Linked DNA regions of Arabidopsis thaliana. The protein of the gene in region 4 interacts with the protein of the main gene of each other region in a biochemical or structural test. Each region holds a gene or a part of one and is shown on either strand. Other genes may lie near its edges.

What was found.
Region 1: the proteins of NUDT7 (region 4) and ATARCA form a complex in vitro, tested with the Arabidopsis thaliana proteins (one study listed by BioGRID).
Region 2: the proteins of NUDT7 (region 4) and ATMS1 form a complex in vitro, tested with the Arabidopsis thaliana proteins (one study listed by BioGRID).
Region 3: the proteins of NUDT7 (region 4) and GRF12 form a complex in vitro, tested with the Arabidopsis thaliana proteins (one study listed by BioGRID).

Annotation. Positions count from the first base shown.
Region 1 is NC_003070.9:6,218,297-6,224,742, forward strand, and holds ATARCA (Transducin/WD40 repeat-like superfamily protein), read left to right. Parts: upstream 1-3,904; 5' UTR 3,905-4,028; coding exon 4,029-4,910; intron 4,911-5,503; coding exon 5,504-5,605; 3' UTR 5,606-5,946; downstream 5,947-6,446. Other genes in the region: AT1G18090 (5'-3' exonuclease family protein), read left to right, coding at 6,243-6,320. UniProt on the Arabidopsis thaliana protein: Major component of the RACK1 regulatory proteins that play a role in multiple signal transduction pathways. Involved in multiple hormone responses and developmental processes.
Region 2 is NC_003076.8:5,931,868-5,941,437, reverse strand, and holds ATMS1 (Cobalamin-independent synthase family protein), read right to left. Parts: upstream 6,401-9,570; 5' UTR 6,235-6,400; exon of another isoform or gene 6,070-6,234; intron 5,683-6,069; 5' UTR 5,668-5,682; coding exon 5,318-5,667; intron 5,229-5,317; coding exon 5,141-5,228; intron 4,873-5,140; coding exon 4,745-4,872; intron 4,639-4,744; coding exon 4,247-4,638; intron 4,146-4,246; coding exon 3,982-4,145; intron 3,884-3,981; coding exon 3,803-3,883; intron 3,706-3,802; coding exon 3,539-3,705; intron 3,445-3,538; coding exon 3,339-3,444; intron 3,247-3,338; coding exon 2,996-3,246; intron 2,912-2,995; coding exon 2,710-2,911; intron 2,612-2,709; coding exon 2,243-2,611; 3' UTR 1,573-2,242; downstream 1-1,572. Other genes in the region: AT5G17930 (MIF4G domain-containing protein / MA3 domain-containing protein), read left to right, coding at 1-74, 159-260, 418-834, 924-1,307; AT5G17910 (cardiomyopathy-associated protein), read right to left, coding at 9,146-9,570.
Region 3 is NC_003070.9:9,154,568-9,161,076, reverse strand, and holds GRF12 (general regulatory factor 12), read left to right. Parts: upstream 1-2,983; 5' UTR 2,984-3,231; coding exon 3,232-3,313; intron 3,314-3,387; coding exon 3,388-3,694; intron 3,695-3,768; coding exon 3,769-3,856; intron 3,857-3,932; coding exon 3,933-4,042; intron 4,043-4,125; coding exon 4,126-4,274; intron 4,275-4,353; coding exon 4,354-4,418; intron 4,419-4,498; coding exon 4,499-4,504; 3' UTR 4,505-4,798; downstream 4,799-6,509. Other genes in the region: AT1G26510 (F-box associated ubiquitination effector family protein), read left to right, coding at 33-1,226; AT1G26500 (Pentatricopeptide repeat (PPR) superfamily protein), read right to left, coding at 1,180-2,697; AT1G26470 (chromatin modification-like protein), read right to left, coding at 5,041-5,127, 5,253-5,322, 5,421-5,472, 5,665-5,737, 5,824-5,943. UniProt on the Arabidopsis thaliana protein: Is associated with a DNA binding complex that binds to the G box, a well-characterized cis-acting DNA regulatory element found in plant genes.
Region 4 is NC_003075.7:7,484,330-7,491,401, reverse strand, and holds NUDT7 (MutT/nudix family protein), read right to left. Parts: upstream 4,102-7,072; 5' UTR 3,808-4,101; intron 3,717-3,807; 5' UTR 3,687-3,716; coding exon 3,543-3,686; intron 3,485-3,542; exon of another isoform or gene 3,398-3,484; coding exon 3,332-3,397; intron 3,248-3,331; coding exon 3,107-3,247; intron 3,035-3,106; coding exon 2,957-3,034; intron 2,732-2,956; coding exon 2,612-2,731; intron 2,549-2,611; coding exon 2,498-2,548; intron 2,396-2,497; coding exon 2,361-2,395; intron 2,278-2,360; coding exon 2,166-2,277; coding exon of another isoform or gene 2,139-2,165; exon of another isoform or gene 2,067-2,138; coding exon 1,845-2,066; 3' UTR 1,747-1,844; downstream 1-1,746. Other genes in the region: AT4G12710 (ARM repeat superfamily protein), read left to right, coding at 4,669-5,036, 5,522-6,362. UniProt on the Arabidopsis thaliana protein: Mediates the hydrolysis of some nucleoside diphosphate derivatives. Can use both NADH and ADP-ribose as substrates, but not 8-oxo-dGTP, cyclic ADP-ribose, GDP-mannose, UDP-glucose, ATP, or GTP. Exerts negative control of EDS1 signaling.

The DNA.
Region 1 (6,446 bases), on a different chromosome or scaffold from region 4:
AAACGAACTAGTGCCGCTTCTATGAGGCTCTCATTTTTGCCCAGGTGGATCTTTTATATTCCCTTTTTTTGCGTAATCAAATTTTTCTTATTTCACATCCCAAAACTCACGTGTCAGGTTTAACGTAAATACGACGTCGGTTAGCTAATATAAGGCCATAATGAAAGCCCAACTAATGGGCCTTAGTTACCCTTGTGTATGATTGTTGGAAGGCCCATATTCACTATTGTGAGCAATATTTATTTTGTACAACAATTGGAAAAGCCTTTGTAAAAAGACACTAGATTTTCAACCGCGGGGACTAATTATATTTTAAAGTTAATATATATAAAAGTTTGTAATTTGTAACTATCTATGTAACTTTCTATAAAATATTTTTATTTTATAGTTTAGAATTGTTATTAAGTAACGTCCTGCCAAACCCGTCCCGCCAACCCGTCCCGTAAAAAAAACTCATTTATTTTATTAATGTTGATCTTATTTATCATATGTTTATGAATCATTGTCTAAATATTTTGTAATTTTGTAGTAATTAAATGCTATCAAATATCTCTGCGGTTTGATGATTATAATTGAATTGTAATAGTCATGCAGAAAAACAATATCAATAATGATAATTTTGTAGTAATTAAATGATATTAAATATTTTGAAAGTTTTATTTTAGTAACCAATCGTGTAGTTAATGTAGAGAGATTTTAGGAAAATTGTTAAATGTCAAATATTTAATTCGAAGATTTTTTTCTAATTATCAAAAACAAATATTAATCTAGTGGCAACCATTGTAAATAAATCCCAACTACAGGATTTATTTCATAAAATGGCTGCAAAAATGTATATATAGATAGATGTGTATAAAAAACAGAAGAATTTGCTTGTAATTTTTATTTTATTTTTTTAACACACCCTTATAATTTTCAAAAGTTTGTATCTTTTACATAATTTCTTTCAGTTAAAGAAAGTTAAAAGTTGAATGCAAAAAACACAAAAGCACTAATGAGACTAAGTTCTTTTCTGTAGGAAATCTACCCATAGATTCTTTTTGGGGTTATTATCATCTGTTATATCCATCCTTCAATCTTGACCGCACAATGTTATCTTCTTGTTTTGTATGTTCCCGATAGACCGATACTTTGGAATTTTAATCCAAAAAAGAAATTGAATGTTGCAATCAGATTTAAGAATGACAAAAGAAGGAGTGGGGTTACACAAAAGCCAATGAGGAGGCATGTGACGTTTTTATGTAAAAGGGAATCTAATAGCTAAACAATGTCAGTCCATTTCCCTAAAGTCCTTTTCATTACCACCCCCACCCATTCTATTTTCTTTATTTTGAATTTGGTATGATGATATTTTCATCATTTCATTTCATGTACTAATCAAGCTCCATATTCCATATGAATAAATGTTACTTTAATAGCAAAAATCGTTATCAGACTCGTCTATTCATTAGTTGCGTGTCCACTCTCTTATTATATTCTTATTCAATTGAATTTTTCCAATCTAAAGTAGGTTAGAAAAAGATTGGCAAGATTTGTTTCATGATTAACAATTTAAATAAATAAATTAATTAAATTAACAGACTAAAAAGAGTGAATTAGAAAAATAACTAGAAAAAAGTAAGTTCTTGAGTAGTAATGAAAGTGACAATTGCTAGTAAATAAGTGGTTTATGAAATCATATATATGAAGTGACAATTGCTGTAAATATGTGATTTAATAGCTTTTCATTAAATATCACAACAAAAAATCTGTGAAATGAATCAATAGCTATTAAATCACAAAAGTAAAAAAATCTGTGAAATGAATCAATAATCCTAACTATTAATGGGTTTAAGAAAAGTCCTCGAAATGAATACCATCTTTGACTCCCTCTTTCTTTCTCATTAGGGCTACAGATTTTTGTCTTTAAAAAGCCATTCAAGTTTCAATGGTTTTTCACTTTTGTTCTCCTCCTCCCTTTTTTTCTTTTCAGGATTCTTCTTTTCTATGTTTTATCTTTCATAATAGATCTGATAATTTTGATTTTTCACTATATATATTATGGTTAATACTAGTAGCTTTTTCATTTCAAGTTTTATCCTTCCATTGGTTCTTTCTGAGTCAAATTGTCTCCTGTTTCGAACCATATATAAGTTTTCAATGGTTTTGTATTAACTCAAGTATTCAACATTATGTCTCTCTTTTTCTTGCTTGGATCTCTAATGCTGTTCATATTTTAAAGCATAGGTTTAGGTTAGATGCATGTAACTGCCAATTAAAAGAAGGTCAAGAGTTTTTTGATTGTATGAATATATGAGTTAGTCAAAGCAGATCCACACGATTATATAGAAAAACAAAGGAAGAAGAAGAGGAAGAGCTCCTTGAAGTTCAATGGAGGGTTTAGCAGGGTGAAGTAAAGCTGCTAAGCTATGGATCCCATAAGCCTTATCAAATTCAATATAATTGATGATAAGGTTTTTTTTATGGATGCCATATCTCAGGAGCTTTCACTTACCCCTTTAATGGCTTCACTCTTCTTTGGATTGAAGGGAGCTCTTCATCTCTCCATCCCTATCTCTCTCTCTCTCTATCTTTAGTTCTTTTAAGAATGACTTTTCATTTTTTGTGTTGTCTGTTGCAGGTGTATAAACATGGATGATGGATCTTGAGTAGGATTTTTTATTTTATTTTCTTGTGACATATATGCAATTTTTATGGTTTGTACTTTGTATTTCCATTAGTTTCGTACTTTTCAGTTATGTATCATTGTTAATTCTAATGTTTGAAGACATTTAGAGTTTATACTTCTCTAAATTACTTTTTCGACTCAATAAAGTCGTTTAAGTGTCTACAAGTATATACCGTGTTAATACTTTTCAATTCATATCCACCATTGTATAAAGATATGATCCGCTTTTATTTAAGTGAATCAATTAATTTACAGTATTCCTCTATATCTCTCTCACACTGTTCGAATAAATTTAATACTCAACAGATCTAGTTTGAACTTTTTAAATAAGTTTAGCCGAAGAAAATTATCATTGTTGAACAAACTTATTAAATTCGGATTGGCTTATTTGATGCATCCAGATTGCAAAACTATATTTTTGAATACAGCTGGAAATGTTTTTAAAGTGTAAAACAACGGTATATATATAAGTCAAACTGGTTTTTTTTGTAGATTTCTCTCCCTTTAGCAAGTTTTATTGCTTTCCTATAATCCATAATATTTACATCCAAAACAGCAATTATATAAGATTTTCTGCTATTTCAATACGATGTTATACTATTTCGGCAGATGTACGTACTACATTACATCTAACCAATCCAGATTGATAACTATATTTGATGTAATCTCGAATTAGTCAATCTCTGTACCACATATAAGAAATTTTGCTTTTTTCACAAAAGAGTTGTTAGAAATTTGACCTATACAAAAATAATGACCACGATAAATGAGTATATACATGTACGTAAGATAAATGTAAAGTTGTATATTTGTGCGCCATTCATGATTCATTCCACGTATATATTGTTTGTTCGAATCAAAGCAAACTCAGAAAATGAAAACGCTGAATGACGATAAAAATAGGGACGCTTTTGTTCGAATTAGCGTGCCCATTATGTCACGAACGTAGATTCAAGTCTTGGCCATAAAACAGGATTCCTTATAGCATCCACCAAAACACGAGAAATCATTCTCAAAAACAGTCTCTCCAAATCCGAACTAAACAACTCATAGCCCATATAATAAGGTCTGTAGTGGGATGCGTTTTTGGCTTTTAGAACATACCAATTGGAGAACACGCTTTCTTACACATGGAAACAAATTACGAACGCTTCCACCAAATATGGGCTGAGATAAGCCCATTAACATAAGACCCAGTAATAAATATATAATATGAGCCCATATTAAATGAACCCTAATCCATTTTTAGTTTCTATCATATAAATAGCTTCTTGTGTTTTTCACGCCCTTCTTCTTTGTATTTCCGCCTCCCCCGAGAAAACGAAAACCCTAGTTTCAGAGGCATCTCCAGACACCGAAAATGGCGGAAGGACTCGTTTTGAAGGGCACCATGCGTGCACACACTGACATGGTGACGGCAATCGCCACCCCAATCGATAACGCAGACATCATCGTCTCAGCTTCCCGCGACAAATCCATCATTTTGTGGAAACTCACCAAGGACGACAAAGCCTACGGTGTAGCTCAGAGGCGTCTCACTGGTCACTCTCACTTCGTTGAGGATGTTGTTCTCTCCTCCGATGGACAATTCGCGCTTTCCGGCAGCTGGGACGGCGAGCTCCGTCTTTGGGATCTTGCTGCTGGTGTCTCCACTCGTAGATTCGTTGGACACACCAAGGACGTGCTCTCCGTCGCCTTCTCACTCGACAACCGTCAGATCGTCTCTGCATCTCGTGACCGTACGATCAAGCTGTGGAACACTCTTGGTGAGTGCAAGTACACCATTTCAGAAGGTGGTGAGGGACACCGTGATTGGGTTAGCTGCGTCAGATTCAGCCCTAACACGCTTCAGCCGACGATTGTATCTGCTTCGTGGGACAAGACCGTGAAAGTGTGGAACCTTTCGAACTGCAAGCTCAGATCGACTCTTGCTGGTCACACCGGTTACGTGAGCACTGTGGCTGTATCACCTGATGGTTCTCTTTGTGCAAGTGGAGGCAAAGACGGTGTTGTTTTGCTGTGGGATTTGGCTGAGGGGAAGAAGCTTTACTCTCTTGAAGCTAACTCTGTGATCCATGCTCTTTGCTTCAGTCCCAACAGGTACTGGCTCTGTGCTGCAACTGAACATGGTATTAAGATTTGGGACCTTGAGAGCAAGAGCATTGTTGAGGATTTGAAGGTTGATCTCAAGGCTGAGGCTGAAAAGGCTGACAACAGTGGTCCTGCTGCCACCAAGAGGAAGGTACACAAATATTTTCCCATGATGGTTCAATCATATGCTTTTAATCGATTACAAGTTTTCAGCTTTTGTATAGGAAGAATTTTCTGTAGTTGGTTATGATGTTGATTATGACTTGTGATTAAGTATTACCCATAGCTGAGTATATCATAATTCGTAATGTTGGTCTGTTATTGAAAATGTGAAAGTTCGTAAAAAGTTTCTTACATGGATTATTCTATTCAAATGCTACACGATGATATATGTAAATGGTCTTCTACACTTGGTTTCAGTTTCAGATTCTGCAATTATGTTTGCTTGAATTACCATTCCGTTTGGAGACTTAGGCTCTCTATCTTCTTTATCTGTTTTAATCTTCCATATATAGCAATTACCATAATTGTGTTTTCGCCCCAGTTTGAGCCTAAATTGTCAATTAAGGTTGTCTTTTAATGGTTTTGTGTGTCCATACTCATTGATTACCTGACATTTCTTGTTAGGATCATAGTAGTAGTAATATTTTTCTCCTGATACATAGCCCTTTGTTTGTTGTGTAATAGTACATGTAAATAACCATGGAAAGTGACTGAATTCAATTTGTTTGTTGATTGGGTCAGGTTATTTACTGCACAAGCCTTAACTGGAGCGCTGATGGAAGCACCCTCTTCAGTGGTTACACCGATGGAGTCATTAGAGTTTGGGGTATTGGTCGTTACTAGTAATCTCATCACTTGTGCTGTCGTTGCTCTCTGCTATCTGCTTGTTGGTTTTATCTATCACTTATGTTTTTATCGACAACTCATGAAGTACCTTGAGGTTTTTGGAAGGATGTTTGTTTTCTTGTCAATCTAGGTTTTTGCTTCTTTATCTTATCGTTCGAGATCTTGGTTTTTAGAGTTACTTCTCCCATTTTGTGGCAAATGATTCCCATTAATAATATAGCGAAATGGTGGAATAGCGGAATTCTCTAAAATTTGTAACTTTATCCAATATGACAGATGAACCAAATGATTTTTAACATGTAATAAACTACTGATTTGCAACGAACTAAGAAGGTTATAGACATGAACATACTATCTTTGGAAATGGACATGAACTGCCGCTATTACTGCTGCTTCCTTCGACCAACGAAATTTCGCCACATAGACTGGTAAAGTCGAACAGCCGCTATTACTGCTGATGTGGCATCTGTCGTATTTTAATCACTCCCGCCATTGCCTTTTCGCGCTAAGTTTTTTTTTTTACTTATGCTTTTTTACTCTAGACTGGAAAAACAAAACAAAAAAGGCTATAAAAAGAAAAATAAAGAAGACAAATTCGCAAGAACCCTAAAAAGAAGAAGATAAGAAATCGGAAATGGGCATCAAGGACCTTCTCAGATTCATGAAACCTTATATCCTTCCCATTCACATCCAGAAATACGCCGGGAAACGAGTAATTTTCTCCGACTTGTTTTCTTAATGTTCTCCATTTCCTTCTCGATTTTAGTTTCCGTTAATCGTTCTGGGTAAATCTCCATTAAAAATCAAGTTTTTAAATGATGGGCTTACACATTTTTGT
Region 2 (9,570 bases), on a different chromosome or scaffold from region 4:
TCATCAGCATCCAGAACAAGGCAAATGAATTGAAAACCTCCTCCGATGGCCAGACACAAATGAATAACATGATGGTATGAATTCTATGAAAAATTGTCTTCGGGAAGAAAATGTTATACTATGATTTTTTTAAAGTTGTTTGTTCAATGAATTTGCAGATGGAAAAGATGCTTGAAACCATTTCCGCAATAAAGAACAACAAGTTGAGAGCCAAAGAGGATTCCGTCCAGAACACAAGGGTAAAGAAGTGGCTTCAAAAGGTAATATTTTAGCGCTCTATTCCTCGAAATGTTATAAAATGGATTCCATCATGACAATTATAAACATGTATGCTTCTGCTTATTAGGTGGCTTTTGGATTAGTAAGTTTTGACTAAAATGCATTTGTTTTTGTCCGTTTTTTTTATAATTTACCCAGTTGAGAGTAGAAGAAGTGTTATTAAGAGGGCTTACATGGAGCAAGCTGCTTGACCCCGAGAAGAAGGGTCAGTGGTGGCTTTCTGGCGATTTGGTGGTTGACTCAAACACCGCTGAAGATATAGCAGAAACAATGGATGCAGAGGTTGTTGAGGCCCAAAAAATGTTAAAGCTAGCTGAGGCACAGAGGATGAATACAGATTCCAGAAAAGCAATATTTTGTGTGATCATGAGTAGTGAGGACTACATCGATGCATTCGAGAAACTTCTTAGATTGGATTTGCCAGGAAAACAGGACAGAGAGATCATGAGGGTTCTAGTTGAATGCTGTTTACAGGAGAAAGCATTCAACAAGTTCTACACAGTCCTTGCTTCAAAGTTGTGCGAGCACGACAAAAATCATAAGTTTACACTGCAGGTACGTTTTTACTATCTAATAGAACCGAAGCCATGGTTATGTAACCATTCTTTTTTCTCTTATCATCTCTTGTGTTTTTTTTCCTGCAGTATTGCATTTGGGACCATTTTAAAGAACTAGAGTCGATGTCACTTCAGAGATCGATGCATCTGGCGAAATTCGTGGCAGAGATTATTGTAACCTTCAATCTTTCTCTTGCTGTTCTCAAATCCGTTGACTTAGCAAATCCAGTGGAGTTAACTCCAAAACGAATCATGCACTTTCGAATGCTGTTCGAGGCCATCTTTGAGCACCCTGAGAATCTTGTGTGGAACTTGTTCACACGCATAGCCTTGAATCCGGAATATGAAGCTCTACGAGATGGCATCAAGTTCTTTGTGAAGGAATATGTTGTGAAAAATAACAAGGCAATCTATGGGAAATTCAGGAAAGCTAAAGAAGCACTTAACAATGCAGAAGGATTACTCATGTGATCCTGTTGTTGCCACCAACAATTTTGAAGTCTCTTTTTGTTGTACACACTATCTTCTAATTTAATTAAAGTTTCTACTTTGTAAGATTTTTATCATTCACCATCTTCAATAAAAATTTACTGAAAACGATCTTAAAAGGTTGAGGTTCTTTTACACTAATTGAATTTGGTTTACTAACTAGGTTATTTTCACACAATCTTAGAGAGAAAAATAATATTAAAAACTGCAAATGAGCAAGAACTTTTCTTCGAGACCGAGCTACAATCTTTTTCTTATTTGAACTCAAAGAGACTTGAATTACTGAGATAAAACTTGAGAACATACAACATCTCAGATTTTACAGAGTTAAAACCTTCTACTTGGCTACAGTCTACAGTTCAAATGATACATAAACATCAACGAAGATGTTCTCCAAGCGAAATAAATCTTCGAGTCTAAAGTGGTGGACCATGAGACTGCAACCTAACATCAGCCACCACGCTCTTTGTGGGGCAATTCAGATTTTCTTTTTGCCAACGAAATAAAGAAATCTAAGGGAAACAACAATCTGATACAGGAGCCAGATAGAGACATACAAAGGGGCCTACTTCAAGAACAGGCTACAAAGCACTGATTGCGTCGGATAAAAAAAAGTAGTGAGTTTAGGACAACGCAAACAAAAGTATTTGTATAAGAATCAATCCTCTTATTCCTTTTCAAGATACTTTAGAAAAAAGACATTCCATCAGAGAAATATATTGGAGACAAAAAGAAAATCACAAACATTGCATCAAATCCAAAGGATGCTATAGCCTTTCTCTCTCTCAACAAGAAAGAAACCATATGCATCAAATCTACCTTCGACTAAAAATATTTTTAAGAAAGTTATTAAACCAAATAAAACACAACCATTTTAGAGAAAAAAAAACGTTTCCTTGTTCAAATCAAGCTTTTCTTCACTTGGCACTGGCGAGCTGGGAGCGGATGAGCTTAGCCGCATCAACCATGTTCTTGAGTGCAGGCTTGACCTCGGTGTACTTACGGGTCTTGAGACCACAGTCAGGGTTAACCCAAAGGATGTTCTGCTCTAGGACAGCAAGCATCTTGTTGACCCTGTCTGCGATTTCCTCAGAAGATGGTATTCTTGGAGAGTGGATGTCGTAGACTCCTGGACCGATTCCAGCACCGTACTTCACTCCTTCACGGAACACGGAAAGAAGCTTCTCATCAGACCTGGAGTTCTCAATGGTGATGACATCAGCATCCATGTCGATGATGGAGTGTATGATGTCATTGAAGTGGGAGTAGCACATGTGAGTGTGGATCTGCAAAAAAAAAACACCAGAAACACATAAGTTATGAGCAACTGAGAAAGCATTACACTACATGAGACTCGTTATGTGTAGTTTTTATTTAAGCAAACCTGGGTGCTGTCTTGGACTCCACAGTTGGTGATTCTGAAGGAGTGGACGGCCCAGTCCAAGTAGAAAGCATGCTCGGATTTCCTGAGTGGTAGTCCTTCTCTAAGTGCAGCCTCATCAATCTGAATGACACCGATTCCACCTTTCTCAAGATCCTCGACTTCGTCCTTGATGGCCAAAGCGATCTGGTAACAGGTTTCGTGCCTACAATGATTCCAAGATTGTCTTAGTGTTTTGTTCTTTATTTGGTGTTTATGTTTGTTTTTAGATTATAGTAACATTATGTACCTGGGCTGGTCGTTCCTGACAAAGGACCAGTTGAGAATGGTGACGGGACCAGTAAGCATACCCTTCATTGGGCGAGAGGTCATGCTCTGAGCCATTGCGGACCAGAAGACGGTCATTGCCTTGGGACGGCTCACATCACCATAGATAACTGGTGGCTTCACACAGCGAGATCCATAAGATTGGACCCATCCGTTTGCAGTGAAGGCAAAACCAGACAACTGCTCACCAAAGTACTCAACCATGTCGTTTCTCTACAAAATTGTGAAAACATGTCTCATCAGAAACAGTACCAAGGATTACTAGAAATATCAGGCAAAAACATAGAATAATAAAAAAAATTCACCTCTGGCTCTCCGTGGACAAGAACATCGATGTCAAGTTCCTCTTGGAGGTCAACAACTTTCTTGATCTCTTCCTTGATGGCTTTAACGTAGTCCTCCTCTGAGACCCTAGTAAAAGAGAGATTAAAGAAACCATTAGCATCACAACAATTTAAGAAAATGTGTGACGCATAAGCCCAAGGATTAAATTTAGGAGACTAACTTTTTGGCCTTGTACTCACGACGAACTCTCCTGAGCTCTACAGTCTGTGGGAAGGATCCAATGGTTGTGGTTGGTAGGATTGGGAGATTGAGCTTCTTCTGCTGAGCATCTAGCCTAGCACTAACATTGGTTGCACGACGGTGGTCAGATCCCTTCAAAGCAGCAGCCTGAGATAACAAGAATGAGAAACTATCTCAATCAATACAAGATTAGGAAAATAAACCATTGGGTGAGCACAGTGCATCAGTTTGAAATCAAACTTACAGCCTTCTGGACACCCTCGTTGGTGACTCTTGGGGAAGATCTCCTTGAAGCCAAAGCCGCAGCATTGGCAGAGAAAAGAGCCTGAAAGAAAAAAAATATTGAGTTCTAGATTTTTCTGGATCAATTACACTACAGATAATTCAAGGGTCCACTACTAGGGGAGCATGTGGGTAAAATACCTCGTCCTTCTGACCAGCCAAAGCCTTGGCCAAAGCGTTCACTTCAACGACCTTCTGGGCAGCAAACGCCAACCATGACTTGATTTCATCATCAAGCTTAGTCTCATTGATAAGATCAACAGCGGTGTGGAGAAGAGAGCAGGAGGTTGAGACCACAAGCTTGTCTGCATCAAAAAGACAACAGATCAACATTTCATACAGTTGTTTTTCAATAATTCCCTAGTAATGTCAGGTAAAAGGCAGATGATTTTGGAAGAACAATTACCTTTACCAACAATGCCTTCAAGTGCCTGCAAGGTGCTTAGGGACGCAGCAAAGTCGTTGGCCCAGATGTTCCTTCCATCAACAACACCAGCAAAGAGGTACTTTCCCTCAGGGAAACCTGCCTTGACCAAATCAAGGGTCTTGGTGCCACGAACCAAATCAAATCCAAAGGCAGTCACACCCTTCAATGAGGTTAGGGTCTTGTATGCCTCAGCAGGGATATCAGCGAAGTAGGTCTCGACAAGAACATTCAAACCAGAAAGAGTTGATTCAAGTTCAGCATAGGCACCAGTAAAGGCCTGGAGTTTCTGACCCTCAAGATCCATAACAAGGACAGGCTCGTCAAGCTGAATCCAGGTGGCACCAGCAGCCTTAAGCTCGGTAATCACTTCCCTGTACACAAATCAAAGTCATTATATCAGTGGTATGTCAGAGGATCATTGATAACATCAAGGATACGGATGGCATAATAAAGAAAAACAATAAAGTGATTTCTTACTTGTAGATCGGGAGAATCTTAGGGAGAAGAGAAAGAAGTTCGAATGACTTGTCAACACCCTTGGCAGCCTTGGAAAGCAGCAAGTAAGAGACTGGGCCAACAAGTACAGGGACGGTGTCAACACCAAGCTGCATAAACATCAAGTAAACCAGATCAGAACTTCGTAGAAAAAAAAACTACTTTAGACAACCAGTGCCAGATGACTTTTCTAACGGTTTTTATATTCAATGCATCCGAGACCTTCCTAGCATATTAGCATCCTCAGTGAAACACCACTCAATGAATCTAAGCTTAAACACTATATCCTCAAACTAAAGCCTATGATCTCTAATAGTTAATTAGACGAGCAAACAGTAATTTCCTAAGAAACGGATATTAGTAAAGAATGATACGTACAGCCTTGGCCTCCTTGTACTCATTCACCGCCTTGTGGGATGCGTAAGAGAAGTTAACCTCAGGGCCCAACTCAGGGACGATGTAATGGCTGCATCAACAAAAGCATAATCAAATTAGTCCACAACTCAAAAAGACCAATGTCAACAAAAAGAACACAAGAGATCAATGAAGACTCACTAGTTGGTGTCGAACCACTTGGTCATTTCCATGGCAGGCACAGAGGCATTTCCTCTAGCCATGGAGAAGTAAACATCAAGGCCGATCTCACCACCAGTGTATCCATACCTAGGTGGAACAGCACCGAGCATGGCGGTGGTGTCAAGAACCTGGTCGTAGTGAGCAAAGGTGTTGCTAGGGATGAACTTAGTCCCAGCGGCAGACATCTGTTTCCAGATGGATGACCTGAGATCAGCAGACACCTTCTGAAGATCCTCAGCAGTGCTCTTACCATCCCAGAAAGATTCCAATGCAAACTTGAGCTCTCTCTTAGGGCCCATACGTGGGTATCCAACAATGTGTGAAGCCATTTTGATTTTCTTTTACTGCATTAAAACACACAAACCAAATCAAAATCAAAATCATAGTATAAAATAACGTTCTCTTAATTCATAAACTTCTTAATATTAAATGATTTAATTAACAAACTCCAAGAAAACCGTAAAGCAATCACAATTCACGTGTATAAAAAGTTTGTGCAGCTTTTTGAGTCTACTACTACTACTACCACCACTTGATACTGTAATCGAAAACTTTCAGATAAAAACACATGCGACATTCATCGATCAAAAACTTTAGATCTAAACGAATACGAACACAGAAACACCAATCATTTTCAAAGGAAAGATGACGATAGATCGTAAACAGATCCAGAAACCAGATCTATAAATCGAACAACACGAAATATCCAGATCTGAGTCAAATGAACTCACATAGCGAATAGATCTCAACAAATGAGCAAACAGATCGAGGAATATAAAAAAACGAGAATGAAACGAATCACACTAAAAGCGAAGTAGTAATAATAACGTGGAGAAGGAAGGAAAGGGAGCTAAATAAGAGAGACGTAAGGAAGACATAGAAAGTCGGAGACGAACCTGACGGAGGAAGAATCGGAGAGGAGGAAGGAAAAAGGGTAGGCTAAGAGAAGGCGAAAGAGAGAGCGAGGAAGAAGAGTGGGCTGTGTGAGTTTATTTATAGCGAAAATAAACGAGATACATCATCGTTGGGCTCTGTGTCATTTCTGTAGATCTGGTGGTGCTCGATATTTTCGCAATTTTATTTATTATTTTAAATATCCCTATTTATTTATATTATTGGTGTATGTGCATTTTCTCTGAATTTGATGTTATTTTTCAACACACTTGAGTGTAGGATTATTTCTTTTTTGTCTATTGTTTGAGTTCAGTATTTTTTTCTTATATTCGTAGAAATAAGTATGTGTGCATTAGTAGAGCTAACAAGTAAGAAATATAATTAAAGTATCATATTGGTAAATTAAAAAAAAAAACTGAATTAATATTGCCATCTTTTATAGGAAAATTAAATTACCAGATGCCCCATAAGTAATTTTTTTAAGGAATTTTTGTTGGGTATGTATTTTTAGCTTGAATTTTGTTTTTTTTTTTAATTTATGAATGAGATCTTGATTAATTGACGAAAATATCTGAACAGAAAGGTTTTTCAAAAAAAATATTGGAGATTAGAAATGAATAATTAATGGTTAGTATTACTAAGGTTGAAATCATTTAATTAACTTATAATAAAAGTATATTAAGAGATTAAAACGTGAAGGGGAGTTGGTGTACGTGGGGAGATTAGTGGGTGGCAATGGGACCCATTGAGGTTGGTGGAGATTCACAATTTGATTATTTCCACAGTAAGGTTTTCTTCTATTATTGATACGACGCCGTTTCAAGTGTCAGCACGAAAGAGTATCAAAATCAAGGCCTGTTCCATAGCGTTTTGGAAACAAATCGAATTATTTACAGGGAACAATACTCCAAATTTCAGTGATACAACTCTTTCAGTTAAATATAGAAAGTCGAATAGTTGTCAAATCTATATGTATATATAGAAAGTTGAATATCTGGTAACACAATTTTACTTGAACAAGTAACAATCTTGTCTGGCCATTAGTACACTTGTGTAAGTCAGATAAAAACTATGTATGTTTTTGGTAAATAGAGTAGGTAAAGAAACATAAATTATGGACCTACTGTATATAATATAATATTATTGTTTAAGATTCATAAGACAATGAGTATACGCGATGGATTAATGGTCTTAATCTTTTTTTGTTTGCTGGTAATTTGGCTACCAAACTTTGATTCTTGACCTTTATCAACGAACCTCATTGTTTTAATTTCCTAGGTCATTTTTTCTTTCCTAACCTTAAATGTAACTTTTGGTTTGCGTAAATCATGAAAGAATATTTTTTTGTAAACATATTTTAAGTTTTATTTTGTTCTTTCAGTCTGCATTAAAAAATTTCACGTACTAGTTACCAATTTCAAAATATTTGTTTTTTTTTAACTCTATAGCAACTGAGGAAGTTTAACCATATCGTGCATAAACTACGTTATAAGCTCTTTTGCGGAATTTAACATGAATTTTCTAAGTTTGGAATATAAAATTATATTCAACCACTTCCACAACTAGTTTTGGAGTATCTTTCTATTTGTATGGAACTGGTGTAGGTCAATTTTGAGTTCACTAGGAATTTATCAAGAAGATGCTATTGCAAACAACACCAAAAAGTCAACAAAATGTTTATGTGATAAACAAAAAATTAGTACTATATGTATGTTTGATGATTTTATTACTTGGTAACTTTAACTATACATCAAACTGGTAATCACACAACAAACAAATTGAACAACATTTAATTACATGAGACTTTAAATCTGCAGGACAGTTGCATATGCTTCCTCGACACTGGTTTGTCGGTGGATGTAGATCTAGTATGTACACAAATAAAGATAATCACACAAGCATTTATTGAAAGTGAAACTCGCACTCTATTTTTTTCTTTCTATTTACTTGTTGTACGACATAAAGAATTGAATACTTTAACAATCCAAATGAAAAACAAACAAAAAAACTTTTCTTTAGGAATTATTGAACTAAATCGTATGTGTATTAGTATAACAAATTATTGGATCAATAAAATACTTGTTTACCAACCTTTTTTGGCATCTTGAGTTTGGTAATCATATGATACACGAATCACAAGATCCAAAAGTATTCTTATTGCTGGCTTATAAAACTTTATGATTAAACTATGGAAAGGCATGCTTTTAGACATGTGAAACAATAAAAACTGTATACACACACATTATGCTTTGAATCAAAAGTTGGTGATTTATATGAATATACTTGGATACTTTATTTACATAAAATCTCAAACACAAGTTCATCTTTTACCAAAAAAAAAAAGAGAGGCAATGCTTCATGTTAATAAGAGATTTACAACTAAATATGAACCACCAAAAACTATTTGTAATCTGAACGGTGTTACCATCTTCGATCGAGTCCATTATATTACAATGTTCATAGAAAAATCCAAACGGCAGTACCTTTCCCATTTCTCAGGTCCAATACAAATAACAAACCCCCCAAAAAAGATGCGAGAAAAGTATTTAAAGACACAATCCAAAACCCTGAGAAAACCTCTCTGGTTTCAAGAGATACAAATCAATCAAATCGATAAATATGAAAGCTGAAGAAAGAAGAGAAAAGGAAACACAAACACACAAGAAAACCAATACAAAGGAAGGAGAAAACTTGGTATAAAAATATGATTAGCGGCTACTTCTTGCCCCTTTTAAAACAGAGGACACAGATGAAAAAAAACAAAACCCAGAAGTGCCTATCATTACCCTTTAACAAAGATATATTTACTTGAGTTTGAGATGATGTATTACCCTTTAATTTTCAATCTGAGTCACTCGAACTAGAGCTTGAGCTTGAACTCGAGCTTGAAGGGTTGGACTTCGTCTTCTTCTCCTACTTTCCTTTTTGCTCTGCAATAGTTTCCACCGAATTCTCTGGAGTTTCTTTGGACTCAGGACTCTGGACATTTGCATCAGTGTTGCTTGCAGTGGTCTCAGCTTTTGCTTTCTCAGTCACAACCTCATCACTTAGTGTTACATTACTAGGACCAGCAGCTTTTGTGGGGATTACCACTCCTTCAGAGATTACTTCCATTGCCATCCCTTTTTTTAGTTCAGAAGGTTTGGGAAATTCTTCCAGTGCTCGAGTTTCGACAAGTAAAACATCAGATTTTGTTATCTCTTTTGGTTTACTTTCCTCCTCTTCTTCTCCTTCTTCTTCTTTCTCGGTGGTCTCAGCTTTCGTTTCCTCGGTCACAACTTCATCAATTACTGTTACATTACCAGGACCAGTAGCTTCTGTGGGAATCATCACGCTTT
Region 3 (6,509 bases), on a different chromosome or scaffold from region 4:
GATTTAGGGTTTCGAAACTATAGCGATTGATCATGAGGACACGTAGCAAAAAGACCAAAACCGTGAACAACAACAACGATCTACAAAAGTCGGAAGAGAAACAAAAGTTTGATCAACTCCCTCTGGACCTAGAGATCGAGATGTTTAGGAGGCTGCCTTTAAAATCTGTAGCTAGGTTTCTCACACTATCCAAGTCATGTGCAACAACTATCCGCAGTCCAAGTTTCATCACATCATTCCCGTCGCAGCCTTGTACCCTAATCGCTTCCGCCGCTACAATCAGGACTTGCCACAACTTGCCTTCCAGCTTTAAATCTAAGGACCAAAGGTTGTACTTCTTCTCATCGTCTTCTTCATCATCAACTGTCTTTTCTACGCGTTTGACATGTCCGTTGTCCCCATATGATAATCTGATAGAGTACTATTATCATTATGCTAGTGGTTTGATAAGCATTGGATGTAATCGAAAGCAAATCGTAACTAACCCCAGCACTGGTAGATTCATAACTTTACCAAGTGTCAGAAGAAGAAGAGTGGTCGTGAAAAGTTTTTTCGGGTATGATCCAGTTAGTGATCAATACAAAGTCTCGTGCATGACGGAAAGACGTCATGGCCTTCGACAAGACCCATCATCTGAACATCAAGTGTTCACATTGGGAGAAAAAAAGCCATGGAAAATGATAGATTGTACTAGCATTCCTGATCACCGTCCTTGGTCTAACGGTGTGTGCATAGATGGTTTTGTGTATTACGTTGCTAAAACTGGACAAGGTATGTCACAACTGAGCTTAATGAGATATGCTCTGAGGGCTGACAATTTGAATCTTTTTACTAGTTTACCTGAAGAGCTTCGAACTCTAAAACTATCTGGTGACACTTTATTGAACTATGAAGGGAATGTAGCATGGCCACTCCAGTTACATCTTATATTTAATGTGTGGGTTATGGATCAGGATGGCGAAAAACATGAATGGTTGAAGAAAATAACTTTCAATATTGAACCTTGGAAGAGTTCATCTCGCTATCTAGACGTTAGAGGCACTACTCATACGGGTGAGTTTATTCTTGCACCATCGCACTATCCTGATGATGAGTTTTATGTCTTCCATTACAATCTCGGCAAGAATAGCTTTACAAAGAAGAAACTTCAAGTTCGTATTTACAATGTTAGAATTGTGTCTACGTCTTCAATAATTGGTCTCTATCTCTCCTTCTCTCTCTTGTAGTCATCTTCTCTCCATACCTCTGGAATATATCAGCCAAATCAAACAAACTCACTTCTCTAAGTTTCTTAGCCATCTCTTCAAACATAACCACACCTTCCTCATTAGAATAATAATGCAAGAACTTGCTATAATCAAACCTAGGAACTTCAAGCCCTCTCTTCAACGTTCTCTCAATATACTTTGTAGTTTCCAACCGTTTCCCCGCCTTGATCATACCTCCAACGAATATCGTATCGAAATTCACTAACGGGTCCGGCCCTTTCCTTCCCCTTCTCCCCAAATGTCCTTGCAACAACATAAGATACGTATGCATTATTGGCTCGCACCCTCTCTGTATCATCTTCCTGAAAACCTCTGTTGCTTCGCTTGCCCGTTTAATCTTCACCAACCCTTTTATCAACCCATGATAGATACTAATATCCGGATTCTCAACCCCTTCCACCAACCCATAAGCCTCTACAACTCTTCGTTTAACCAACAGTCCATAGATTAACGACGCCCAAGTTAAGTTATCCACATAAACACCTCTCTCACGCATTTCATCGAACACCTTACGTGCCATATCAATCCTACCGTTTTTACACAACCAATCAATCATCACCCTGTAGAAACCCCCATCCAAATCACCACCTCTTTTCGAAACCATAACATAAAACACCTTAGAAGCTTCATCAAACTGATTCTTCTTCAGAAGTGTTTCCATAATCTTTTTACCAGCTTCGATATCAACATCAAATCCTTCATCCATCATCAAATTCCAAAGCTTAGCAGCTTCAATCAAATCACCAACATCACAAAACCCTTGTATCATCGTCCTATAAGTAATCTCATCAGGTTTAATAAACTCCTTCAGCTTAATAAAAACAAACTTAGCTTCTTCAACAAGCTTCTCCTTACACAGAGTCTCCACTCCTCTATTCATCGTTTCCACATTATACAAATACCCAAAACCGTTCATCAAATGGAAATAGTTTACACATTTCTTCAACTCTCTAGCAGAAGCAAGTGTTTTCAACACAATCCGAAATGTCTTATCGTTAACCAATCCACGTTTTCCGATCTCTTGAGCTAATTCCCAGAAAAGATCCATGTTTCTTGAGTTCCCGATGATTGCTAGCATCTTATTAGAGGTAGTGGAAGTGTGGGTGAAATCAGGGTGGTGAGTTTGAGAATAGAGGAAGAAACGGTGTACAGGACGCCACGAGAGTGGGAAATTGTTGCAGACTTGGAGGAAGAACTCGTGAGTTAGTTGAAATTTGGTGGAGGAGAGTTTAGAGACGAGACGTGAATCAGGTGAGTTCTGTTGCTGGTAGAGAATTGTACAGACTCGGAGAAGATGGTCTTGGTTTATCGGTGTGATTGTGGTTGGAGTTAGCTCGGTGGAGAAGAAGCGGTGGTTGAGAATGAAGCATCGCCGAATTGAGTTTCCGATGTTAATCATCCTCCGAGAAGTCACGACGGCCACAGCCATAAGTTTCCCGGCCAATGGAGAAAACAAAAGACAAGAACTAAATTAAATAAAAAAAATTAGGGTAAAATTATAAGAGGCTACAAAGAAGCCCATCTAAGCCTATGTCTAAAAATGAGTGGGAAAATGGAGATGCGGGGGATCGAACCCCGTGCCTCTCGCATGCAAAGCGAGCGCTCTACCATTTGAGCTACATCCCCGTTGATGTTTAAATACGTAACCAAAAACATATATAGGATTAGATAAAACGGTGTCGTTAGGGAGCGAAAAGTTCGTTAAGTTAGTTAGAAAGAATAGCGAGGAAAAACCCAGGAATTTCGCAGACACAGAGGTGTGTTCGGATCTCAAGGTTGAGATTCAGTCTTCTTCCGCCATTTGCGAACCATCTTCGAAACTCTTTTTATATTTCTCTCTTTCCCTCCCATCTCTTTCGATTATTTTATTTATCTCACCAAGGAAAACAAAACACAAAACAAACAAACAAACAAACCCATAAATCAAGATCTCTGTTTTCAGACAGATTATTATCGGAACAAAATGTCATCATCAGGATCCGACAAAGAGAGAGAGACTTTTGTCTATATGGCTAAGCTCTCCGAACAAGCCGAGCGATACGACGGTAACATAATCTCTTTATTATTTTCGATTTTAATTGCGAGAATTTATAGAAAGGATTTGGTAATGAATGTGCAGAGATGGTGGAGACGATGAAGAAAGTGGCGAGGGTTAATAGCGAGCTGACTGTGGAAGAGAGGAATCTGTTGTCGGTTGGTTACAAGAACGTGATCGGAGCAAGAAGAGCTTCGTGGAGGATAATGTCGTCCATCGAGCAGAAAGAAGAGTCTAAAGGCAATGAATCAAACGTGAAACAAATCAAGGGTTATCGCCAAAAGGTAGAAGATGAGCTCGCTAACATTTGCCAAGACATTCTCACCATCATTGATCAGCATCTCATCCCTCACGCTACCTCAGGGGAAGCTACCGTCTTCTACTACAAGATGTGATAACAGAAAAACACTCTTCTTTTTGAATCATCATCTGCAAATGAAACTCAATTTGATCTGGAATTTGTAGGAAAGGAGATTATTACCGTTACTTGGCTGAGTTTAAGACCGAGCAAGAGAGGAAGGAAGCTGCTGAACAGTCTCTCAAAGGCTATGAGGTATTAAATTTGTTTCTTTAGTCAAATACTAGAGAATTATGAGAAGTTTGGTCTGATGCATCTGTATTTTGATTAGGCTGCAACACAAGCTGCAAGCACTGAGCTTCCTTCGACCCATCCAATTCGTCTTGGCCTTGCTCTTAACTTCTCTGTTTTCTACTATGAGATCATGAACTCTCCTGAAAGGTTTCAATCTAAAACATCAATAAATAAATATACCAATAGAGTGTCAACTTTGTTGTAATGTGGTTTCTATTAAACTGTTGCAGAGCTTGCCATTTGGCTAAGCAAGCCTTCGATGAGGCGATTGCAGAGTTAGATACTCTAAGTGAGGAGTCGTACAAGGACAGCACTTTGATCATGCAGCTCCTGAGAGACAACCTCACCCTCTGGACTTCTGATCTTCCTGAAGATGGAGGTTTGTCTGAAAATCACACAGCACACATGATGTCTCAGAATGTTTGAGCTTATAAGCAGTGGTTTTGTTATGATTTCAGGAGAAGACAACATCAAGACTGAAGAATCCAAGCAAGAACAGGCCAAGCCTGCCGATGCCACTGAGGTAGTAATTCACTTTAAAATGAGGTGTATGAATAGTTCTTGTTGGGTCTAAAGGCTCACTCTTTTGTTTGTTCGTTTCAGAACTGATCAAAGGGCTTGGAAGTTGAATGAGATTTAGATTCGATGTCCAGAAGGGGGAGGCAAATTCCTTTAAATTCCATAGCTTGGTTTCATCAGGAAGATGAGATCAGAGACAATTGAATTCAATCCTATATTGTTTCTTTTTTGTATTACTTTTCGTCTTCTTTATTTTGTTCTCAATTTTCATGTCATCAAGTATTTTATGTTACGCAATTTTATTATGATTTGATCAGCATATGCTTTTGCTATCATACATTCCCATCAGATCAATCAAATGTGTATCAAAAATTGCCAAACAAACACAACCCTGGCTCTAAATGCAAACATGAAAAGAGCGAAAACCGCAAAAAGCTTGTTATGATTATTAACTCTCTGGACAGAGTAACAAAAAGATTATTCATTGATCCTGATGGTTTTATTGACATTAAAACTTCAGAATATATAGAAAAAAGCTTATCATAAGAGCTGAAGACAAAACCTAACCATATACAAAAAGATGGGAGAAGATGAATGAAAAGAAAACATCTTTTCTTCTTCCTCTGTCATTCTTCTTCCTTATCAAAGAAACTCTGCGGCAAGGTAAAGTCTTCCTCGTGATTCAGAATGTCTATGTCCTCATCATCTGATTTCTAAGAAACAAAACAGAGGTAACAGATTAATAAAACCATCACCACAACTCTAAACAATGCCATGAAGTGAAACTAAAGCTATGGGACCAAAATAACAATCAATGCTTGTTGTAATTACTACTCACCAGCATCTCAATGTTGTAAAAACGATCGAGTAGCTGCAGAACCTCATCCGCAGTGAACGGTCGGTCAAAGCTATGTACAGGAATAGTTTGATAGAAAGACTCAATCAATAAGGATCAGAGACTCATGTATGTATTGGAAGTATGAAAGAAACTCTGAGAACAACAAACCTTCTTCCGAGATACTCCATCAGACCATAAAGAACAAAGTGGCGATGTATCCCTGCACACCATCATGATCCCATTAGCAGAAGAAATCAAGAAACCAACAAACTGATCAATGTGCAAGAACAATAGACATTGAAATGATTGCATTTGATAATGGTTTCTGATAACTATCATGATACAAAAGTAAACATTGGCAGAAGCATATAGAACGTAGCTAAAGGATCAAGATTTGAGAAGTGAAACTTGCCTCGGAGTTTAACAGGAGGATAGATTTCAAGGGCTTCTAATAACCTTAGCTCTAATTCAACCTGTGACTGCTCCTGAGAAGCAAATCCAATAAAAGAGGAACCTTTAAAATCTCAGGAACAGAAATGGTAGAGAGATAGAGAGAAAGAGAGAGAGAGACCTTGGAGAGAGAGGAGGCGGAGGAAGGTAAAGCTTTACAGGGAGAGTGTACGGACAAACCATCTTGCTCTTCCTCTTTCTCTTTACCTCCTCCGCCACTTTCGTCCGTTCTTCCACCCATTTTTTAGGGTTTTGTGGCTTTGATCCCAAATGTGTTGAAAACTTCTCATAAGCTGTTTGTGATTTGTGTATATATACAGGAGTGCTTGTTTGATCTCTGAACTGGGCCGGCCCATATTTAAGGCCTTGTCTTTGTGCTTTCATCCCACACACAATGATTATTTTAAAATCTAATTCTTTTTCTGCACTCATTTTAAAATCTAATGTTATTGAATGTTATTTTTTGCACTCATTTTAAGGGGTTTTAGATAATTTTGTTTAGTTAAATATACAAAATTATAAATCTCATGGCTTTAACTTTTTTAAGTGAGATTTGGGAGATTTTACAACAAATAACATTTTTCCTAAAGTCATCCAAAAACATAAAATCATTTTAAAACTAAAATCAATTAATATAGGGTTGAATTTAACTCTTTAGATTCAAAGAAGATAAAAGTCAAAATATTCCAAAGGTTTTGACATTATTGGTCAATGCAAAAGCATCTTCCTAAGACTATCGATCCTAAGAAAGTAAGAACCCAACTCTATTGGTTTCCGAAAAAGAAAAAAAGAAGCCAAGTAATGTAT
Region 4 (7,072 bases):
TGATTGGTACGTTGGAATCACGTGTATCTATAAAGATAGTGTCGGTGGTAGTCGAAATAGTGTGAGGCTGTGAGCTGTAAGATGCATGTTACATCCTTTGTGGTCGCTTGGATTTGACCCATGATGATGCTCCATCGTAACTACACTAATATGAAATATAGTATACTTTCAATTACAGAGGAAATCAGAATAGGGACAAAGATTATAATACGAGATAAAATGAGTGTTAGTTCAAACTTCCGATTATAATGTCGTAATATCTTTTAACCATATGTGTTGCATTGCACATAGTAATAAGGGCTTTAAGAGGGATTAAATGTTTTTCTATCTCTAGGTTGGGCATCTCCAACAAAAATTGTATTATCAGCTCCTACCTAATGTGGTGATATTCTTATTAGATATACTAGATCTTTCTTGTTCCATCAATCCATAATTAATAGTGTTTTGGACATGTAAGTTTAGTTAATCTCTAATCCGGTTTACAAATTGCGGTTTAGGTGTAATTAAAAAAAACAATCATGATTTAACTTATTAAATAAAAATCGGATGTATTTAAGAAATTTAGTGTGAGATAAAAATTGATTTTGTTAGTACCTACTTGTAAGAAATGTAATTATTTTATAACAAATGTAATTATTTTGAAGGATACTAAAATAGACATTTTATTGCTTTAAGTAATGTGCAAAACTTCAAAACATTTAATGCCACAACTATTGAACGAAGCTTTATTCACCCTTCTATTCACCTCCTTTTGCATTAACCAATAAAAACATGTCATGTCAAATCTTACTTAAATTACATAATAAATTAAAGCTATAATTATAAATCTAAACCGATATATAATCTCGTTTAATTACAAAATCTAAACCCTAATTCTCCTTTGTAAACCCAAACCTTCATTTAAACTCATTTAATCGTAAGAAAAAACTAAACCCTAATCGTATTTTCAAAACCCAAACCGACATTTAACCTCGTTTAATTGTAAAATCTAAATCTGTTTATAAACCTAAACCAATATTTAATTGGTTAATTGTAAAATCTAAACCCTAATCGTACTTTCTAAACCCAAACCGATATTTAACCTCGTTTAATCATAAAATCTAAACCCTAACCTTTTCTAATAAATCCAAACCGATACATAATTTCGTTTTAGTGGCAAATTAGATTTTATAATAAAATTAAATTCTTTTTATTATTGTTAAATGTCAGATTTTAATTGATTAAAATAGAAGAGGTGAATATAAGGGGGTGAAGGGTGAACCCAAGTATTTTTAGCAACTATTCCATTTTAAATTTTGATGTTTCCATGTTACAATAAATTTTCTATTTCTGGAAAAATAAATACACTATAATTTTAATATGGGGCCTATAAAGTTTTTTTGGGGCTAAAGCCCATATATGCCTTATCTTTTTCACGTTAGGCACACAGTACAAACGAGTCGCAAAAATTGGTGTACATATACAAAGTAATGTGAACCTTTTTAATGGCATTAACACTTTCTTGGATTCACACCATTTACCAGTGTAGTAAATGGTCAAGAGACGATACAGCTGAGAACTTAAAACCGGTTACGAGAAGATATTTTGGAAGAATAAACCAAGTGTATGGTAACACTCTTAAGCCTCATATCTTTAAAAAGCACGTAAGCGTTGGGAGAATCAAACCATCACTGGAAATAGACTAGAAGTCGATGGCAAGTTTTACAGTGGCTCATAGAGATGGTATAAACTTAAATATTTAGACGCAATTTTGTAGAATCGGAATAATATAGAAGAAAGTTTCCTGTTTTGTACACACTGGACACACACATGCCGAGATCAAACAGAATCAGATGAGAATGTTTTCAGAGAGAAGCAGAGGCTTGGTCACGCGATACTTTAAGGCGCTTGGCATGATCCGCATTGCAGTAGATAAAGCTCTCTTTACCAGATGATGTGGTAGTTGGCACAATGGCGAATCCCAAGTATTCTTCCTCACACTTCTTTTGGCAAATGTTAGCCATGAACTTGAACATCTCGTTCTTCTTGTTCCATGGTTGGTCTACATACTCTTGGATCGGCATCCACTGTAATACAATATACCAGTTTCGGTTAAATTTGAAATATATGTCAGTAACTTTTAACATTTTCTTGGCTCATCAACACTGAAAGTTAGAAAGGTTTACCTTAGCTTGCAAGATCTCAGATTTTTGTTCAGTAATATCGTAAGAGCGCGGACTTAAGACACACAGGAAAAACATATCTGTTTTCTTTTTTAAGATGGCTTTGTGGCTTTGCCTGAGAGTGTAAAGAGTTGAACAATGAGGAACAAATGCGTTTAAGCCAGATCAATGTGTCTACAGCAATAAAATTTAAGTTACCTGAAAGCCAGTACTTCGACAAAATCTGCAATAATCTGAAGAGAAAAGCCAAGAGAAGAACACAAATTTTAGATTAGAATGTCAAGTAAGAGATCCTTATGATTGAAATGCTTAATTTTTGAAAGCCAGATACTTACTCCAGTTTCTTCTTCCACTTCCCTAGCTACTCCAGTCCATATATCCTCGCCCTGTGGCATTGGAATGTTTTAGTTAGAAGCAAAAGACAACAACAATCAAAACTTCATATCCACCATTCTCTTAGTTTCATTCTTGGTATCATTACAGATTATCAGTAAACACTTGATGGATCTGTAAGATGTAAGAACTACTTTCTTATGCAATTCACCAACAACTCTCAGCACTACCAACTCCTAGAATATACTCCCCTAAACAATACGCTGACACCCTTCATAAGCCAAACCCTTACTAGTAGTTCACTCGTTTTCATTCACAGGACAATAAGGTATAGGATCCTAGGAGCTTCGTTCATCAAGATTGCCTCTTTTTAGCATTTAACTCTTCATGTCATTCACCGTGATTGTAAATATTTAACGGGATAGTAAAAGATCACAAAAACAATCTTATGTAAAAATCACCTCGTTGATAACACCAGTAGGCAGCTTCCACACATTTTTATCTTTGAAAAACCCACTCCTCTCCTGGACAACGAGGACCTGCTCATTGAATTATCATTATTTGTTAAGCAACGTATGCGAAACTATGCAAAGAAGAGAACAGTTGGCTACCTCTTTAGTATTTTTGTTGATGACCAAAGCACCAGCACCTACAACATGAGAAGCATTGGCTGGGATTGTATCAGGAGTTTCAGAGATCCAAGATACAAGCATCAAGTACTCAGGCTCCGCGTGGTGATATCTAAATCCTTCCTGAAAAAATCACCAAACACAAGAAGATATTCAACTAATCATCACAATAACTAACGTCAATCCAAATCCTCATATAAAACTTACACTAACTGCAGCCTCCACAAGATTAGCCAATCCAAGAGGCAGCTTTATCCAAATTCCCTTCTTCCCCTGCAAATCATAAACTCTGACTAAGTCCTCATGTTATCACAATCCTCTAAACTCTTAAGAGCTCATATCATATCTCAGAAGTTTATCAGTTATCAGTACAATCAAACAATAAGGCTTGAATCTGAGTTATATATATTGTTAATACCTCTTCTCTCCAATGCGAAAGAGAAGCCCTAAGACTTTCAGTAAAAACCTCAGAATCCATAGGTTCCACCATGGTTACAGTAACACCATCGTAATTATCAGTCTCACCTTCAAGTAAAGGAATCTGCTGAGCTCTAGTACCCATCTCAATCAATCTTCTTATCACAAAAATCAGCTACACGAGAGAGAACAAAAAAAAGTACACTTTTTTAACAAACCCATCTTCAGAAATCTCAAACAAGAGAGAATGAAGGAGAAAACTGTACCTGTGTGTACCTTGGAGAGAATTGAATTGAAGTTATCCTTCGATCTCAAGAAGACTTTATACAGAGAAGGTGAGAGAGAGAAACTGTAACGAAGACTTCATACAATTTCCGGGAAAAACCAAAAACCAAAAATAAAAAAACAAACCTAATTTAAAAAGAATGTTTCCGTGCCCTTTGTTTATTGGACTCATCTCGTTGGCCTCGGAAGTCAGAACAAAATGGAAACATCGTGGAACCACTTAAGAACTTTCAGAAGAAGCAGCAGATCAATGAGTTCTGATATATAGGAATTCCGCACAATATATTCCAATTTTTATTTTATTTTATAAATGAAAAATTATAAATTGTAGTCGTTTATTCTTTGTGTTAGTCTATTTGTTTCATTACGCCTAACGGCAGCAGCAAACTCTACCGCATATTGTTGAAGTAAAATGATGTCAACAATTTTTAACCGCAGCTACTTGCGTTTGCCTTAACGTTTGACCACATCGTCTTGCGTCCACCAAACGAATATCATCATGGTTGCTGCTGTCGCAAATAGATGCGGCGATCAAACGAACAACCTAATTATACTTTTAAATAGTTATATAAATATTCGGGATTTGTTGTTAATTTTGAAAATAATTTTTCTAGCTAATTCTTTCTTATATTCTTTCCTTGCATAAAATTGAAAAAGTTAAAATATTGAAATGTCCCGGTTGGTAAATTGTGAACTAACTAACCTCGAGAAATATGGGCTCTTTCAACTAATACCATAACTTTCGTTTTAATTAAGTAGATGATTCGATAAGTCGTCGTTTCGTCTTTGACTAGAGAGAAACAAACACAAGAGCGAGCAAGCGAGCGAGAGAGACAGAGATAATGGTGGTGGAAGAGAACCAGAATCAGATGATGGCTTCCATCGCCGGCGACTCAACGGTGACGGCAAATATATCGGAAGAAGACGAAGCAGAGGAGGAAACCACCACCAACACATGGAAAACCACAAAGGAATTACTGATTCTACATCTCTCCAAGAAGCTTCTCCATGGAGATCTCGATTTCCGAATTGAAGCCGCTAAGGAAATCCGAAAGCTGCTTAGAAAGTCTCCGGTTAAGTCTTCCGCTAGGTCAAAACTCGCCGACGCCGGCGTTATCCCGCCGCTTGTTCCCATGCTCTTCTCCTCTAACGTTGATGCTCGTCACGCCTCTCTCCTCGCTCTCCTTAACCTCGCCGTTAGAAATGAACGGTAATCTCTCTTGGATTGTTCTAGGTTTTATTGCCATGTACCAGAAACTGATTCTCTCGTCTTGTCTTCTAGGTCTAATTTAACTCGATCTGAGGCTTTAGGCAGTGTTTAGGATTAGTGACTTCACTAATCTCTGCTCAGAGCTTGATTTATGACATTGTTCTGGATTTGTAGTTTTAGTGTTAAGGCAATTGTTTAACTCTATCAATCAGGCATCAGAATGTACTGAGAGTAGCTACATTTTGGACTTTAGATCTGTTGAAACCAAGAGGATACTGCTTTTTGGACACTGATCTGATTGCTCTAGGTCTAGCTTTACCTGTAGTTTACTGCTATTTGGATAAAGATAGCAAATGTAGGATGTAATTTACCTACTTGCTCCAGCAGTATTTTCTACAGATCCTTTGTAATCTGTGTGGAAATAGATTTGCATTTTCAGTTCTTGTGGTGGTCATTACTTATTTTGGGTTGTGATTTCTGACCAGGAATAAGATTGAGATTGTGAAAGCCGGTGCCGTTCCACCTCTCATACAGATTCTGAAGCTCCACAATGCTAGTTTGCGTGAATTGGCCACTGCAGCAATTCTAACACTTTCAGCTGCACCAGCCAACAAGGCGATGATTATAAGTTCTGGAGTTCCACCGCTTCTGATTCAGATGCTTAGCTCCGGAACTGTACAAGGGAAAGTAGATGCTGTCACAGCCCTTCATAATTTATCAGCTTGCAAAGAGTACTCTGCTCCAATTCTTGATGCTAAAGCTGTCTACCCGCTCATCCACCTCCTTAAAGAATGCAAAAAACATTCCAAGTTTGCTGAAAAAGCCACAGCCTTGGTTGAGATGATCCTGTCTCACTCTGAGGACGGGCGAAATGCCATCACCAGCTGTGAAGATGGTATTCTGACTTTAGTAGAGACTGTAGAGGATGGTTCTCCACTCAGCATAGAACACGCAGTTGGAGCTCTGCTTTCTCTATGCCGCAGCGACCGAGATAAGTACCGAAAACTCATACTGAAAGAAGGTGCAATCCCGGGTCTCCTAAGTTCAACAGTAGATGGAACATCAAAGTCCCGAGATAGAGCCAGAGTTCTCTTGGACCTACTGAGAGAAACCCCTCGTGAGAAAGAAATGACTCCATTAACACTAGAGAAAATTGTCTATGGCATTGCAGTACAAGTCGACGGGGCAGAAAAAGCTGCTGAAACGGCTAAGAAACTGCTGCAGGACATGGTTCATAGAAGCATGGAGCTGAGCATGAAAAGCATCCAGCACAAGGCTGCGTCTTGTGCATCTATTCCTGATATCTCTTCCAAATCGAATAGCTAACGATCGTAGTGGTAATATTATTGATATCGTAGAAGCAAGAAGGTTGCATTACGAGATTTGTAGTGTTTCAGGTTCTGATCTGGAAAAATTCAAGAATTAGAGCCGGGTTTAGGTCTAGTCTTACCTCTCCGGAGTTGGAAGAAAAACCATTTGCTAAGTTTTGAAGGCTGAATTTTTCTTTCCCTTTTGTACATACTTTTGGTTATGGGTCATGTGTATATCAGAACCCTTCCTCATGCTTTTTACGCTGTCTCGTCACATTGATTCGGCATTTTCGTTTTGAAGTTTGGTATTCTTGGTCTTTGTCTGTTAAACAGTTTAAATGAAATACAGTAAAAATGACGGCCTTGAGCTCTATTAAAAGACCACCGGACAAAAATGGATTTCTTATTTCACCGAGTGCATAAAAATGGTTTCTAACTACAGCAACTATTGGAAAAATGTACAAACTCACAAACTGACGTCGTTTTAGCCCACACTGACCTCAGATTATAAACTAAAGTAACGTCCTTTTGCTATAGTCGATGTCTCGATGACGACGCAAGTAGAGTCGCTCCACCTCCACATGTACACGTGTAGGCAAAAAAATACACACACACATTACAAGAAATGTTCCAAGCTCTTCGATTCCTCCGCTTGACATGGCCATAACTATTCTTGACACTGTCTCTAATCTCTGAGAATGACATTCATCGAATCTTGAAGACAAA